Linked DNA regions of Alligator mississippiensis. The protein of the gene in region 1 interacts with the protein of each later gene in a pairwise test. Links are inferred from orthologs where the notes say so. Each region holds a gene or a part of one and is shown on either strand. Other genes may lie near its edges.

The links. The genes of interacting proteins can lie anywhere in the genome.
Region 2: the proteins of TASOR2 (region 1) and ERH interact in binary tests that used the Homo sapiens proteins (3 or more experiments, as listed by UniProt). The two-hybrid records come from large-scale screens. The link is inferred for Alligator mississippiensis from reciprocal best matches to the Homo sapiens genes TASOR2 and ERH.

The regions. Positions count from the first base shown.
Region 1 is NC_081827.1:6,055,407-6,063,344, forward strand, and holds the start of TASOR2 (protein TASOR 2), read right to left. Parts: upstream 3,067-7,938; 5' UTR 2,976-3,066; coding exon 2,960-2,975; intron 1-2,959.
Region 2 is NC_081825.1:232,523,322-232,530,952, forward strand, and holds the start of ERH (enhancer of rudimentary homolog), read right to left. Parts: upstream 3,094-7,631; 5' UTR 3,078-3,093; coding exon 3,075-3,077; intron 3,034-3,074; exon of another isoform or gene 2,935-3,033; coding exon of another isoform or gene 2,932-2,934; intron 1-2,931. Other genes in the region: SLC39A9 (zinc transporter ZIP9), read left to right, coding at 3,455-3,550. UniProt on the Homo sapiens protein: May have a role in the cell cycle.

The DNA of each region.
Region 1 (7,938 bases):
CTCTGTCAAGTCTCAGGTTTCCATTTCTGCTCCAAAAATGTGGTGCAGCTTAAACACCCCCCACCCCTCAGTGCTTTGCTCTCAATTTAGCACATCACAGAGTTCAGTCTTCAAAGATTTGTTTAGCTTGCAACTACCTGGTTTCTCCAAGATCTTCCTACCTGCAGCAAAACTCGCCCAATATTTCTGAATCCCACCATTGTAGGCACAGAATTCATACAAAATGCCCCCCTCAGTCTAATTCCCATCGTTAACAGCACTTCTACCCTCCATTCACATCCTATAACCTGTTCAACAATGCACATATGCCATGTTAGACAAGTCAGACTATTCAGTTTCACTTTTGTTTCTAGCCTTTTTCACTTTCTGATTTCCTGCATGAGCACGATGATGACTTCTGGTGCTTCAAGGATGGGGGAGGGCATCAAATCACCAAATAAAAAAACTGTTCTGAGGAAATGGTTTGGCAAACTTTTGCCTACAAAAAATAAAAACACAACTTGGACTTTGGGTCTAGACCTGCTATTGGCATCAGCAAAACTTTGATACTAGGAAAAAGGGTGATGGTTACAAACAAATGAAATAAAACACAGGGGGAAGTGTTTTCTCGTGGTTAGAAGAAAAGATCAAGACTAAATTTTTTTAATTGGATTTCTGAACCTGCAGCTGACTTCGGGGTCAGGTAGGTCAGCGATTCTCAACCAGGGTGTGATACCTTAGGATGCCATGAGATCCTTTTAAGGATGAAGAATATTTGTACGGTTGTACGGAATACTGTAGTATTGCACAGCATTCTGCACGACTGTTGCAATGCAGACGATTTGCACGGTTGTACAGAATATTGTAGTGATGCACAGCATTCTGCACGACTTGCAATGCAGAAGATCTGCATGGTTGTACAGAATACTGTAGTATTGCACAGCATTCTGCACGACTGTTGCAATGCAGATGTGCACTGTTGTACAGAATACTGTAGTATTGCACAGCATTCTGCACGACTGTTGCAATGCAGACGATTTGCACGGTTGTACAGAATACTGTAGTATTGCACAGCATTCTGCACGACTGTTGCAATGCAGACGATTTGCACGGTTGTACAGAATACTGTAGTATTGCACAGCATTCTGCACGACTGTTGCAATGCAGATGTGCACTGTTGTACAGAATACTGTAGTATTGCACAGCATTCTGCACGACTTGCAATGCAGAAGATCTGCATGGTTGTACAGAATACTGTAGTATTGCACAGCATTCTGCACGACTGTTGCAATGCAGATGTGCACTGTTGTACAGAATACTGTAGTATTGCACAGCATTCTGCACGACTGTTGCAATGCAGACGATTTGCACGGTTGTACAGAATACTGTAGTATTGCACAGCATTCTGCACGACTGTTGCAATGCAGACGATTTGCACGGTTGTACAGAATACTGTAGTATTGCACAGCATTCTGCACGACTGTTGCAATGCAGATGTGCACGGTTGTACAGAATACTGTAGTATTGCACAGCATTCTGCACGACTGTTGCAATGCAGATGTGCACGGTTGTACAGAATACTGTAGTACTGCACAGCATTCTGCACAACTCTTGCAATGTAGAAGATCTGCACGGTTGTACAGAATACTGTAGTGATGCACAGCATTCTGCATGACTGTTGCAATGCAGACGATCTGCACGGTTGTACAGAATACTGTAGTGATGCACAGCATTCTGCACGACTGTTGCAATGCAGACGATCTGCACGGTTGTACAGAATACTGTAGTATTGCACAGCATTCTGCATGACTGTTGCAATGCAGACGATCTGCACGGTTGTACAGAATACTGTAGTATTGCACAGCATTCTGCACGACTGTTGCAATGCAGACGATCTGCACGGTTGTACAGAATACTGTAGTATTGCACAGCATTCTGCACGACTGTTGCAATGCAGACGATCTGCACGGTTGTACAGAATACTGTAGTATTGCACAGCATTCTGCACGACTGTTGCAATGCAGACGATCTGCACGGTTGTACAGAATACTGTAGTATTGCACAGCATTCTGCACGACTGTTGCAATGCAGACGATCTGCACGGTTGTACAGAATACTGTAGTATTGCACAGCATTTGCACGACTGTTGCAATGCAGACGATCTGCACGGTTGTACAGAATACTGTAGTATTGCACAGCATTTGCACGACTGTTGCAATGCAGACGATCTGCACGGTTGTACAGAATACTGTAGTATTGCACAGCATTTGCACGACTGTTGCAATGCAGACGATCTGCACGGTTGTACAGAATACTGTAGTATTGCACAGCATTTGCACGACTGTTGCAATGCAGACGATCTGCACGGTTGTACAGAATACTGTAGTATTGCACAGCATTCTGCACAACTCTTGCAATGTAGAAGATCTGCACGGTTGTACAGAATACTGTAGTGATGCACAGCATTCTGCACGACTGTTGCAATGCAGACGATCTGCACGGTTGTACAGAATACTGTAGTATTGCACAGCATTCTGCACACCTGTTGCAATGCAGACGATTTGTACTGTTAAGTGTGCAAACACCTACCCAGGATCCCCAAGAGAAACCCAGAGATTTCAAATACGAATCCAAACTGCCTACAACGTTTTGGCTTGTTGTGGGTTTTCGGAGAGGTTTTTTTTTGCAGCAGAGTTGGCGTATGACAATTCGTTCCTTCTAGGAAGAGCGCACACCGACTGCACAGACTTCCTCAGCCCCACAAAGGGTTTTTAAACCAGAAAGCTTGCTAGACAAAATGGTTCCCCACAACTATTTAAGTTGGTCTCGTAAAAGATATCACCTCCAGCTTGTCTGCTGATGTCCTTAGATCAATGCGTGCGGCTACCCACACAGGGGCCCGGTATCATTTCAGCCCCCCCAAACCCGGCTCCTGAGGGGCGCGAGCCTCCCCCTCCCCTGGGCCCGACGCCGCACTCACCAGGCGGCTCCGCCATGGCCGCTGCCGCGCTCAGGCTCGGGGCCGCATCCCGCGGCCCGGCGCCGCGAACATGTCGGCCGCCCGCGCAGGAAGTGCCGCCGCCGCCGCCGCCGGGGAGGGGAGGGAAAAAAAAAAAAAAAAAAAGAGAAAGTGAAAACTGACCCGGAAGTGGTGCTCCACTTCCGCTTCCGCTTTCCCCCCCACCTAGTCTACGGCGGCCCCGCGTTCCATGCCGCGCCTGGGCGCGTCTGCGCACGCGTGGGGGCGCCTTCCATCATGGGGCGTTTGTACACGTGTCTGTGCTAATGGGAACGTGATGGTGGCGTGCTTTTGAATTAAAACACATCAAAAGGTGTTTTAGTTCGAAACTGCGCTGGTGTGTGTGCGTTTTGCTGTTGAGACGCACGCGCCGCCAATGGACATGTTTAAATGCCCACGGGTTTTAAGTCGCCTACGAAATAGGAGCTTGCATTTCTACCTAGGAGAACTTGGGCAATCTTTTTTCCGATGCCTGATGAAGCGGGGGTTGAGCCCGAAAGCTTGCAATTAAAATTTTTTACTTTTTTTTTTGCAAAAATCTGTTTGGTCTAATACAAGATATCACCTTTACTGCGATTTTTATGTCTAAAATAGACTAATGCATATTAAAGCGCACGTATAGATGCGCCCTATGAGCCCTGGGTGGAGAGATGCCCTGTGCCCCCGTGTGCCCTGCCGGCTGGCTGGAGAGGTGCCCTGTGCCCACTTCCCTAATGGTTTGAATTGCTGCTGCTGGTGAAAGTGAAGTGGAGTGGCCTCCCAGCCACGCCTGGTTTGGCCCTTCATGCCCCCTGCCAGCGCGCACACCTTCCCCAGGCCTCTTTGGGGCTGACATGAGAAGGGATGGGGGCACGGCACTGTCTGATACTAATTTGGGTTCATGGCCCACCTTCCCCCATGATGGGGAGGGCTCCTTGGCCAAGGGCAACAGCAGCTGTGCTGCATGCACCCCCCAGCTCTGCCATGGTCCGACGGGGCGGCTGGAAGTGGCTGGGCAGGGCATACTTTGAAAGGCAGTCCCAGTTGATCAAAGGACAGGAGCACGGGTGTGCTCCCCTTCCTGTGAAAAGCAGGCAGCTACTAAAACTTAGGTTCAAAGTCCATTATTAAAAGTATTTTGAAATCAATGATTTTTTTTTCCCCTTCTAGTTTTAAGCAACCTTATCAGCAGTGGCTATTCCCTCCTCCCAGCTGCCCTTTTTCTTCCAGAGAAACTATACTGCAAAGAAGAAACTAGAAAGCGGTGACATTCACTCGTAGATAGTCGTAGCAAAGCTGCAGCGTGGTGATTCTCAACTGGGGTGCCATGAGATGAGGGTGCCACACATTATTTGTATTGTGATGTGTGCAGCTACATCCATGCAAGTCACAGGATAAACCCAGAGATTTCAAATAGAAATCCACAGTGCCCAAATCATTGTGACCTGCTGTGGTGTTTCTGAGTTCTTTGCAACAGAAGAATTGCTCTGTTACTTTTCCAAAGTCAAAAAATGCATGAAAATGAACAGCTGGCACTTTCCGAGGGGGGCCTGGTGTCTAACGAGGTTGATTCTAAAACCGCTGAAATAGAAAAGAGTGGATAAATAACCCTTTTGCCTAACCACCATATAAAGCAGGTTTTTTTGTCAGTCGTAGAGAAAGCTGATCTCTTAATGGAGCAGCTGCTTATCAGGTGGAAAGAGAAGCGAACAACATGAGATTTTTAGTAGTCTTTTGGCTCTGACACCAGTCTTTCCCGTATGATTTTCTCCTGTGGATTTGTAACCAAAGCTTTTTTCATTTGTCCATCATTTTTTAGGGGGGTGCTGCCCCACTGCTTGCTTCCAGGATGGCGGCAGTCACGGCAGGATTCAGTATTGCTTCTTTAAATATCAGCTCTCTGTACCGGGTGAAGGAGGCTGTTGCCTACAAAAGCTTATACCTCTCTGAACCAGCTGGTCTCAAGGTTACCTTGTGCTGCCTTCTGCTTTTGACTGCCTGAAGAATAGATCCCACCACCGAGGAAACACAGCCAGTTGGCAAGTGTTGCAATAGGTTACTTAAGATAAAACATGTCCGCCTGGGGCTGGCTGAACCTGTTCTGCTGGGTATGGTAGGAATCTCTGATTATGTTGCATTTGTACCCCCCCGGTACCTACTAGCTCCAACTGAGATCAGCCCCGTCGGTCCTAAGTGCTGAGATATACATAGTGTGAGAGGGAGACAAGACTGATGCACAGTGGGAGGGAAAAAAAAGAGACCCAGAGAGAGGAAGTGACATGCCCAAGGTCATACTTCAAGCCAGTGGCAGAGTCAAAGATGCAACTGAGCACAAAGATTGTGATGCAAAGGTCTCAAAGTAATCTGCAGCCCATTGAATCTCAGGGACTCCAAGAGGCAGGGAAGTGTTGGCATTCCCCTATTTTTACAGATGACGAGACCATAGCACAGGAAGGAAAAGTGATTTGTCCATGGTCAGACATTGAATCGCTGTCAGAGCTGGGACGAGGCTGCAGGGATTCTACCCCCTTTCTCTATCCGCAACACAGCTCAGACTTATGAGTGCCTGTCTAGATCCCACGACGTACCCAGGTGAGTTCCCCTTGGTGCTCCTGGCCATTCGTATTGAAAGTGATTTCTATATTATGTCATATAGAAATTATACATGTATAAAGTAATTGTGTATATATACCCATGCACATATGTACATGGCCAAGAGAGACGATTTGTGCTTGAGTTGCTGGATTCAAATGCCTAATGAGTCTAGAGACTTGTGATTTTTAAGGTTTGACAAACCCTTGTCTATCTAGAATGGTTTCAACAGGAATGATCCTGATTGGAGAAAGTGGTTGGACTAGTTGTGGCCGCCTGAGTCCATCCCAGTCTTAAAATTTGAATGATTCTGTGTTTCTAATTTTATTTACAAAGCACTTTCCAGGGACTAAATTGCTTGGAGATAAAAAGGTCACTGCAGTTCCCCTGCTCTAGAATCAGATGGTTCAGAAAAACCCATTCAAAAGGAGATTCCCAAACTACCTTTCCAAGGCTGTATGAAGTTTAGCCCACACTTCTCTGTGCCTTTCTTCTGGGACACAGCAGAAGGAAGGTGTACACAGAGGTGGATCCAAGGGGGTGCACTCGTGCATTTACACACCCCTTTAATTCCTGCTTCACCCAAAATTTAAAACCAACTTTCTGGCAGTGGCAGTGGCATTTCTACTCAGGCAGCGTTGAGGGAATCAACTAACTTCATGGCTCATTGTCATCTACTCCATCCCTTCTAAACTCTTCACCCTACAGGTGTTAATGATCTTCTCTTTTTTTATGGTCTCAATGTCTCACCAATCAAGTCACCCTTTGGTCTGCAGTTCTGCTGTCTGCTCACTGCTCCTAGTCATGAAGCTCCTATTTCACAGCCCTGCAGATGGTTTTTACCTCATTCTAATGAATTTATATTTGTTTTTGCTTCAGTCTTAAACTAAATAACGCAGCCATAGGCCCCTAGCAGATTAGTAAAGTTCTGATTTATTTTTACCTGGAGAAAAATATATGTTGTTGTATATGTGTTGTTTTGTATCGAAAGAGGACGGAGCTGGACTGCTCTCAGTGGGGGCAGATGACAGGACAAGGAGCAATGGGCTCAAGTTGCAACAAGAGAAGTTGAGGTTGGATATTAGGAAAAACTTTTTCACAAGGAGGGTAGTAAAATACTGGAGCAGATTACCCAGAGAGGTGGTAGAAGCTCCATCCTTGGAGGCTTTGAAGACCTGGCTACACAAAGCCCTGCCTAGGACGATGTAGTTGGGGCTGGTCCTGCTAGGAGCAGGGGGTTGGACTAGATGGGACCTCCTGAGCTCCCTTCCAGCCCTCATTTGCTATGATTCTATGTGATGATGCACCTCACTATGTGCACCCCCATTTTCAAAATCCTAGATCCACCCATAGATGTATATCACTGCTTTTCTAGGAGAACAGAGAACAACACTGAGGTTCCATGAACTTCTTTCCAAGTTGCAAAGTGCTCTGATCTCACAGCAAGGAGCTTGCAAAAACACACTAGGTGTTTACCTGTGGCTTGTCAATGGGAAGCTGAGCGATAGGATAGATTTGGGATTTCAAGAAATCCCTTCTCCCCTCCTCTGTTTCAAAGCATTTTAACACATTTTTCTGAATGGCTTTGAGTACCATAGCTTTTTGATGACTTCTTGGTATCCATCAGCAAAGAGGATGTAAACAGTTCTTCCGGCTGTTGATATTTTTTTGTGTGTGCCACAATTTGAATTATTCAATTCTTCATGGTAAGGGTGGCCAAAACTTGGAATGGGCTTCCAAGGGAGGTAGTGCTCTTGTAGCATGAACTAAACTAACTAAACTTGTAGCATGAATTAAACCCCCTACCTTGGGGGTCTTCAAGAGGAGACAAGCACCTGGCTGGAGTCATCTGACCCCAGCACTCTTTCCTGCCCAAGCCAAAGGTCAGACTCAATGATCTGTTGAGGTCCCTTCCAACCCTAGCATCTATGAATCTATGAATTTATATACAATATTGGGTATTGGATATACATGCCCCTGTCATATCCAATAAGCTGGATATAAGTCAACAGTGTGCCCTTGTTGCCAAGAAGGCTAAAGGCATCGTGGCCTACATTGGTAGGAGTGTTACCAGCAGATCAAGGGAAGTAATTATTCCCCTCTATTCTGCACAGGTGAGGTCACATCTGGAGTCCTGTGTCCAGTTTTGCCCCCCACCCCTACTACAGAAAGGATGTGGACAACTTAGAGAGAGTCCAGTGAAGGGCAACAGAAATGGTTAGAGGGCTGGGACACAGGACTGGTGAGGAGAGGCTGAGGGAACTGGGCTGATTTAGTCTGGAGAAGAGAAGACTGAGGGGATTGAATAGCAGCCTTCAACTCCCTGCAGGGGGGTTGCAAAGATGGAGCTGGACTGATCTCAGTGGGGG
Region 2 (7,631 bases), on another chromosome or scaffold:
CTTAAGTGACATCTGTAGGCCAGAGATGTCCTCGGCCAACTCTTTTAGTATCTCAGGGGGTGTCCAGATGAGCACACATGTGGTTTGTGGTGCCTCAAACCTGTTTGAAGCACAGCATACCACATGCGATGCATGTGCAACTCTTTGCCACGCTGCAAATTTGATACTGGGAACTCTCAGTATTAAAACAAACAAAAAAAACGCTGTCAAAAAAAGCTGCACAACTGGAAGCTGGGTCCTCCAGGGATATGCTCTGGCTACCAGCCAGAGTGTCTCAACTGCTTTAGGTGTCCCCTGGCTCCTCTTCAGCATGCCATGAGCTGGGAGGAGTGGGGAAACAGCCATTTCCCTGAAGCGGGGCATTCTGCCCCACACCAAACCCCATGAGCCGGGGCGTGCACAGCCACTAAAAGCAGTGGCACAAACATGTGCTATTTTTGCTTCAGCAAACGCACACAGGAGTATGTGCCCCCTGGGTGCAAGTTATTCAGACCTTTATAAATGATTATTCTAAGAGATGTTATCTAACCCAGCATTTCATGTCATATTAGCAGCACTGTCACTTGCATGTGAAAGGAAGGGATTCTTCCATTCGGGACTGGCGAGGCCTCACCTGGTGTACCAGGTCCAGTTTTAGGCAAAAATGATTTGTGGCCTGGGAAGCAAGACTTATGAGACTGGAAGAACTGGGGACATTTAGTCTGGAGAAGAGAAGATTGAGGGGGATTTGATATTTGATAACAGCCTTCAAATACCTGAAGGATGATTAAAGAGAAGATGGAAAAACTATTATCTGCAGCTGTAGGGGACAGGACTAGGAACAATGGCCCTGAGCTGCAGTGAAGGAAATTTAGGTTGGAAAAAAGGAGGAACTTTCTATTAGGGTGGGTCAAGCATCAAAACAGGTACTGAGAGAAGTTGTGAAATCTCCATCCCTGGAAATTCTCAAATGTTGGACAGAGACTTGGCTGGGATGATTTAGTCAGGGAAGATCCTGTCTTGAACAGGGGGGCTGTACTAGATTACCTCATGAAGTCCCTTCCAGCCTTATTTTCCTGTGCACAACCTCCCCAGTTACTAACTGGAAAGTATTTTTTCACACTCCTGAAATATTTATATATTTTCATAAATGTATACCATCCTGTTTTTTGTAAAATGCAGAGCAAAAATATTTACCAAAAACTTCTCTTCTGCACCATTAACAATTTACTGCCTACATGAAGCATTGCGTCTATACTATTGCTAGATTTTCCTATTTTGTTCCTAAAATATTTAGCTTCTCTCTGTCATTTTGGTGTACCAGCCAGAGATCATCTGTCCAATCTTGCTCCCCCACCACATCTATCTTCCCATATCCATTTTCTGTATTGCTATTTCTTCTTTTGCATTTGTTGTGTTGGGATTTAAGTTTCTAATTTCTGCTTTTGATTCGCCACCGAAGTAAGGTGGGTTTTGAGCTCCTTGGTAGTGGAACTGGGGGCTTTTAGTCATTTAATAAACTCTTTCTAAAGAACTCCCGATTTTCACACAATTGATTCCTTCCAATTCATTTCAATCAATTTCCCTCAACTTTGGGAAACGAGGATTTTTCCAACACAAAAAGCAAAAATAACCCATTAAACTGAGCTGCAGAATTCATTGCTATAAGATAGGGGCTTAAGACAAAAAAGGTCAAACCTTTCTAGAAATATGAAAATCTCTATCCCCAGTTAGAGATGGTATATCCACACCACCACACATCAGAACAAACTGACACGGGATGGGAAATCCTGCCCAAAATTGGGATTCTTGTACCTTTGACAACTGCGAAATGGGTACGTCTACATAAGACACTTTACTGAGCAGCAGACCAATCTGCTGTGCTAAATAAAGCATCACCATCTACGGGTGCATGGCGATTAGGGAATAGCAGACTAATTTACTGCGGTACCCGACAGCCCAGTCAGATACAAGTGGTATCCAGCAGCACAGTAAAGTAGTGTGCTTACATGCACATGTAGACAGTGATTTTGGGATTAGTTTACTCTGGCTCAAACTGAGCCACAGTAAATACAGTTATATCAATTACCTGCGTAGAAGCACCCAGTGGCTACACAATTGGTCTGAATTATTGTGGCAGTTCCTACGTTTAAAGGAAGTTGACAAACATTTATTTGGGTATGCATCTACAAAAGCACCTGGGACGGTGCAGACAGCTGGATCAGTCAGGCTCCATACCCTGGCAGAAAGGTTTCTACCAGCTGCAACCCACCTACACTACTGCCACCAGTGAACAAGCAAGGGAGGGAAGTGGGGCGGAAAGACCCTGTGCCAACCGCTTCAGTGCAAGTGCAGGCAGGGATTACCTAGCAGACCTTTTTAGTGGATTTTGAGTTCCTCCTATTGCACAGCAGAAGCAGGGGCTTCCTGCAGCAGGCTCCAAAGCTGCGGGGAGCAGCACGTCTCTTATAAAAAAGTTTCACTTTTTTTTTTTTTTTTTAAAGAAGCCAGGTACTGCTCCAAAGGGGCGCTCGGGGCCCAGGAGGCTGGGCTGGGCCGGCGGCAGGAGCCACGTTTCCGAGTGTCAGGTGGGCCGGGCCTGGGGACGGAAATACGGCAGCAGCGCCAAGCCGGAACGAGCAGAGGGACGTAGCCGGCTTGCGGCAGCAGCTGAGACTCGAGCGGGGCCCGGCATGACCCCCCGGGGAGGCCGCGGCCGCCGGGGACCGCCTTTCTGTCCGGGAAAAACTCTGCCGGCCGCACGTGCGCCGCGGGGCCCGATCCCGCCCCTCCCCCCCCACGTGCGCCCTTCCCCCCACGCGGGAAATGGCGCGCGCAGCCCGGCACTGTCCCCCCAGAATCGCCCCGCACCCCCCGGCCCCTCCGCCTCCCGCTCCGCGGCCCGCGGCCGAAGCCCCTGCGGCGCCCCCGCTTCTGCCCCCTCCCCCTCACCATGGCGACTCGCTCTCCACAGCCCCCGGCGCGAACCAGCAGCTCCCAACCGTCCCCCACAATCCCCCGCGCCGACCGGAAACGCTTCAGCAACCGCCAAACGGCTTCCCTCCCTCCCCCTTCTCATTGCAGCCCACTTTCACCATAGAGACAGCACCTCCCACAGAGCCAGAGCGCCGCCCAGGCACCTCGCGAGAATTGGCGGGCGACCGCCGCTGCGCATGCCGGGAAGGCTTCCGGAGCGGAGACTCGGGCTGCCATGTTTGCTAAAGGCAGCGTTTCCTTCCGTCGCGCCTCGTGAGGTCTGCCATCTTGGCGGTGGGTGACCCGGAAGCGGATCCGGCGGAGGGAGCAAGCGCCAGAGCGAGAAGCTGCCACTTGGCCTCAGCGGGGCCAAGATGGAGCCCGGAGCTTGAGGGCCGAGGTCGGGCCCCGCGGGCAGGGGCGGGGTCCGAAAGCGGCCCCGGCGCGGCCGGCAGCGCTGGAAGCGCCGCGGGGGAACCTGAGCGCGGGGCCCGTCGCCATGGACGACTTCGTGTCCATCAGCCTGCTGTCGCTGGCCATGCTGGTGGGCTGCTACGTGGCCGGCATCATCCCCCTGGCCGTCAACTTCTCGGAGGTGAGGGCGTCCCGCGTGTCCCGGCTCCATCGCCTCGCCGGGGGCTGCCGGCGGCCCCTGCACCCTCGGGCTGAGCCGGGAGTGCCTGGCTTAACCCCTGGCTGAGGGGGGCACCAGGACTGTAGCCGGCTGTGCCCGCCGCGCTTCAGAAAAAAGGCTGTCGAAGAAGTGGTGGAGAAGGGCAGCGCGGGTGATTAGCGGTGTGGAGGGGCGCCCGTCTGAGCAGAGGCTGAAGAGGTAGCAGCGAGGGGCTGGGTCAGTAGAGATGTCAGGTCTTGAGAAATAAACTTTAAATACCTGGTTTTCCTTGCTGAAACTGATAACAATGAAGCAAGTGAGTGTTAACTAATTTTGCAGAGGAGAGCGTTTAGTTGCTGACTTCCCTTGGGTACCTTAAAAGGTAACTGATGTCTATTTATTTTTGTCACTTCTCAGTCAAGTTTGAGGGTGCTGTTTTGGTTAATACGATTACGCACAACGAAGTGGCATATTTAAAAATAAGGAGATCACAAGGATTAAGAGTTAAACCTCTGGCTTTTAATGTGGGAGAATATAGCACCCCTCGAATTGAGCTTGTTTTACTAATCTATAACGTCAACTCAGTTTTATAATAGTAGAGTCTTTTTGCTTTACATTTTTTAAATTGAGATCACTTAACTTTTTAGCCCCCTTTACACCCTCATTCATTACTCAAATATTTATTATGTGCAGTTAGTGATGTGTTAATATGGTAAACTAAATGGTCTGAATTTCCTGATTCACTTCTATGTTTGAACACTTACTGGAAGTTACAGCTTGATTTTTTTATTTTTTTTTTTTTCCTTGAAAGGTACCAATCACCCATGCTTTCTGTTGCTTAAAGCATAAGCTCAGGTTTTTTGGAAATACTACTTTTTTATATTGTGCCCCATACTGGCAATGTGTAGCCCTAGGTGTTAGAGCTTTAATACAGTTGACTAAGGCTTTTTGAACGTATGCACCATTATGAAGTGGAATGATGTTTTTGGACTTCAGAGTTTTAAGAAATGGGTCACAATAACGTTTTTAGTCTCCCTTGATGTATTAAAAAGCCAGCAGGAATGGAGCTGCTTTGTAAGAGTTTAAACTAGAAAGTAAAAGCCTTGTTGCTTATAACTTGCAACAGATGCCAGGGAAGAAGGGTGCTATTGATTAATTTCTTATAGTAAGGAATTCTACTCCTGGAGTACATGATTGATGCTTTATTTCATGCTAATGTACCTTTCAAATTAGACTTCAGTACTCTTAAAAGGAAGAAACTGTTAGGACAGATTTCAGGCATTGAAAAATTACCCCTTGGGGTAAGTAGGCTTAGTGTTATAGGCTTATTTTGTACTGTACCTAGTAGAGTTGCTCCACTTGTTTTCAGTCACATGTTTCTCTCAGATTCAGATATGTATGAAAATAAGTGGAGCGACTCCATTAAGTACACTACGTTTCATCTTGGGAACATTATTTACCTTATACTGTTTTTTGGCCCCCATTTGTCAAATGCACACGTTAATCCAGAAGGACTAGTCACCTGCTTAAAGTTAAGCATATAAATGAGCCTTTGCATCATTAGTGCCTCTAGTTGGATGCCATCATTGTTTTTAAGTCACAAACTTTTATCACTGATGAACTAATGATCTTTGGCAGCACTTACTAAATAGTTACCTTGTTTTTCTTCAGGGAAAAATGGGTATATGTTTTCTTGTGAGGTTTTTTTAAAATACTGTTAATTTTTTTAACATCTTGGAGGAATGTAGGTCTTTTGGGGGCTTGTTTGTTTTGTTTGTTTTGTTTTTGGTTACTGATAAGCTGTTGATTGATTTTGAGCAGATTTGTTTTTAGTTTAGAATAGAGAACTTTGGTCGGGTCAGTTTTAAGTTGCATATTTATGGTCTTTCATGTTAGATCCTGGAGAAAATTGTCAAGGGATCCATTAATGCCAGACTAATGGATGGCAAGCTGCTGAATGCCAGCCAACATGGCTTTGTGACTGGTAGGTCTTGCCTGACCAACCTCATCTCTTTCTATGACCTGGTAACATGCACCCTGGACAAGGGAGATGACATGGACGTCCTATATCTGGACTTCAAGAAGTCCTTTGACCTAGTTTCCCATGATGTCCTCATGGTTAAGCTGGGGAACTGTGGCCTTGATCATCATACAGTCCGATGGCTAGGCAACTGCTGGCTACAGGGTTGGACCCAAAGGGCGCGTCCACACGAGCGCGCACGTGCCTTTTGCCCCTCCTCAAACCCCTTTGAGGTGGGGCAACAGACGTGTGGGAACAAAAAAATGTTCCCCATGTTGCAAGTTTGCAGTGCAGGGAGAAAATTTAGACCCCTGGATATCCAGGGGTCTAAAAAAATCGATGTTTAAAAAAGTGGAGCAGGGCATAGTCCCTGACTGCTCCCTGAGGCAACCGGAGGCTGGGTCCTCCATGGAGACACTCTTGCTGCCAGAGCATCTCTATGGTTGGCCCTCGCCCTGGTGCTGAAACGTGGCTGGCCAGGCCACATGTTTCAGCACCAGGCTCCAGTGCCAGTGAGCAAGGGGCCGACAAACTCCCCTCAGAGGTGGTGCAAGCACCTACTCTGGACTCCTTCAAAAAACAGGTGGATTTATTTCTTGCTGGGGTCACTTGATCCCAGCTGACTTCCTGCCTATGCGGGGGAGGGCTGTACCCGATGATCTCATGAGGTCCCCTCCATCCCCTAATGTCTATGAAAATGTATGAAATCTATGAAATAAAAGTATTTTACTTACTAGTATGCATACTTAATCACTTTTAAAAGTTAAGGTAAGGCAAACTGCATTTTCAAGAGCTGTGATTATCAGATTGGCTTTCTGAATAACCATTAAAGAATACTGTCCCTGTACCCTTTTAATATTAAAAACAAATGCTGTAAGATGCTTTTGGAAAATTGAGAAAGTGTTTGTATCTTGTGAGCCACTAGATCAGACATTGGAAATTGAACCTGTCATTAATTTGTCTGTTTTGGTTTTGGTGTGGGTGGCTGGATGAGTGCTGCAAGGCCTTGCACTACCACCCCTAAAGCCCCTACCAGATTGGGGCCCCATGCTGTCTCTGCTTGACCCTGTGCTATAGGATCCGGTCCTTAGCCACCTGTAGCCAGCTCCTGTGTGGCTGGATTGGGCCACAACCCACTTCCATGTGCTAATCCAGTGTTTGGCTCATGTGGCTCCCCATGGGTCTGGAAATTTGGCAGCAGAGGAGAGGCAATTGCTGCCAGTACTTCCCACCACCACATTTTTGGACGTGTGGACTGGATGACATGGCTCCATGGGCCAGGGATGAGTGGTGACTTGAGAGACCAAGTCCTGAACGTGACTTCTGATCACTTTTTACATATGCTGTGGGGGAGACTGTGGGCTTTATGATTCTCTTGTTTTCTCTAACTTCTGGACTGGTGTACTTCACAAAACTTTAACCACAATATAATTCAAGCACTTCTGCCTATAAGTGATCTTCAAATGGCTCCCATTTCTATAGTAACTAAGTAAGGTTAACTAAACTTCATCCACTTTTCAGAATGTTCAGCCATGCTGGTTTTACTTTAATTATGTTAAATTCTTCAGCTTGTTTACGTGTAGTGCACCAGTTTAACTGAAGGTTTGTGTTTTAAGAATTGATTTAAGCTGAAATGGCATTAAAGGCTGTGTGGATAATCTTAGTTTGCTTATGTTGATTAGAAACGTGTGTAACATTTAAAAAAAAAAAAAAGAAGCCTCCTTTCAAATTAAATGTCTACGTGGAAGTTGTGCTGGTTTAGCCAAAGTACAATTTGTATAGTGAAAATAACCTAATCATTTTGCTGTGTAGCTGTGATAATTGTTAATTTCTGAAAGTGCTTGCCCCATAGTATTTTTCTTAGTCTTCAACCCTAAACCTTTGCAAATGACTGGTAACATTGTCATAAACTAGCATTGGCTTTGTCATATGTCAGATGATGATGATCAGTACTTTCTCACTTTATTTAGGGAAAGTAAAACCATTGTAGTGGCTTTCTCTCTAATTATATAAAGGCAAATCCCTTTTTTCATGCTTCACTAA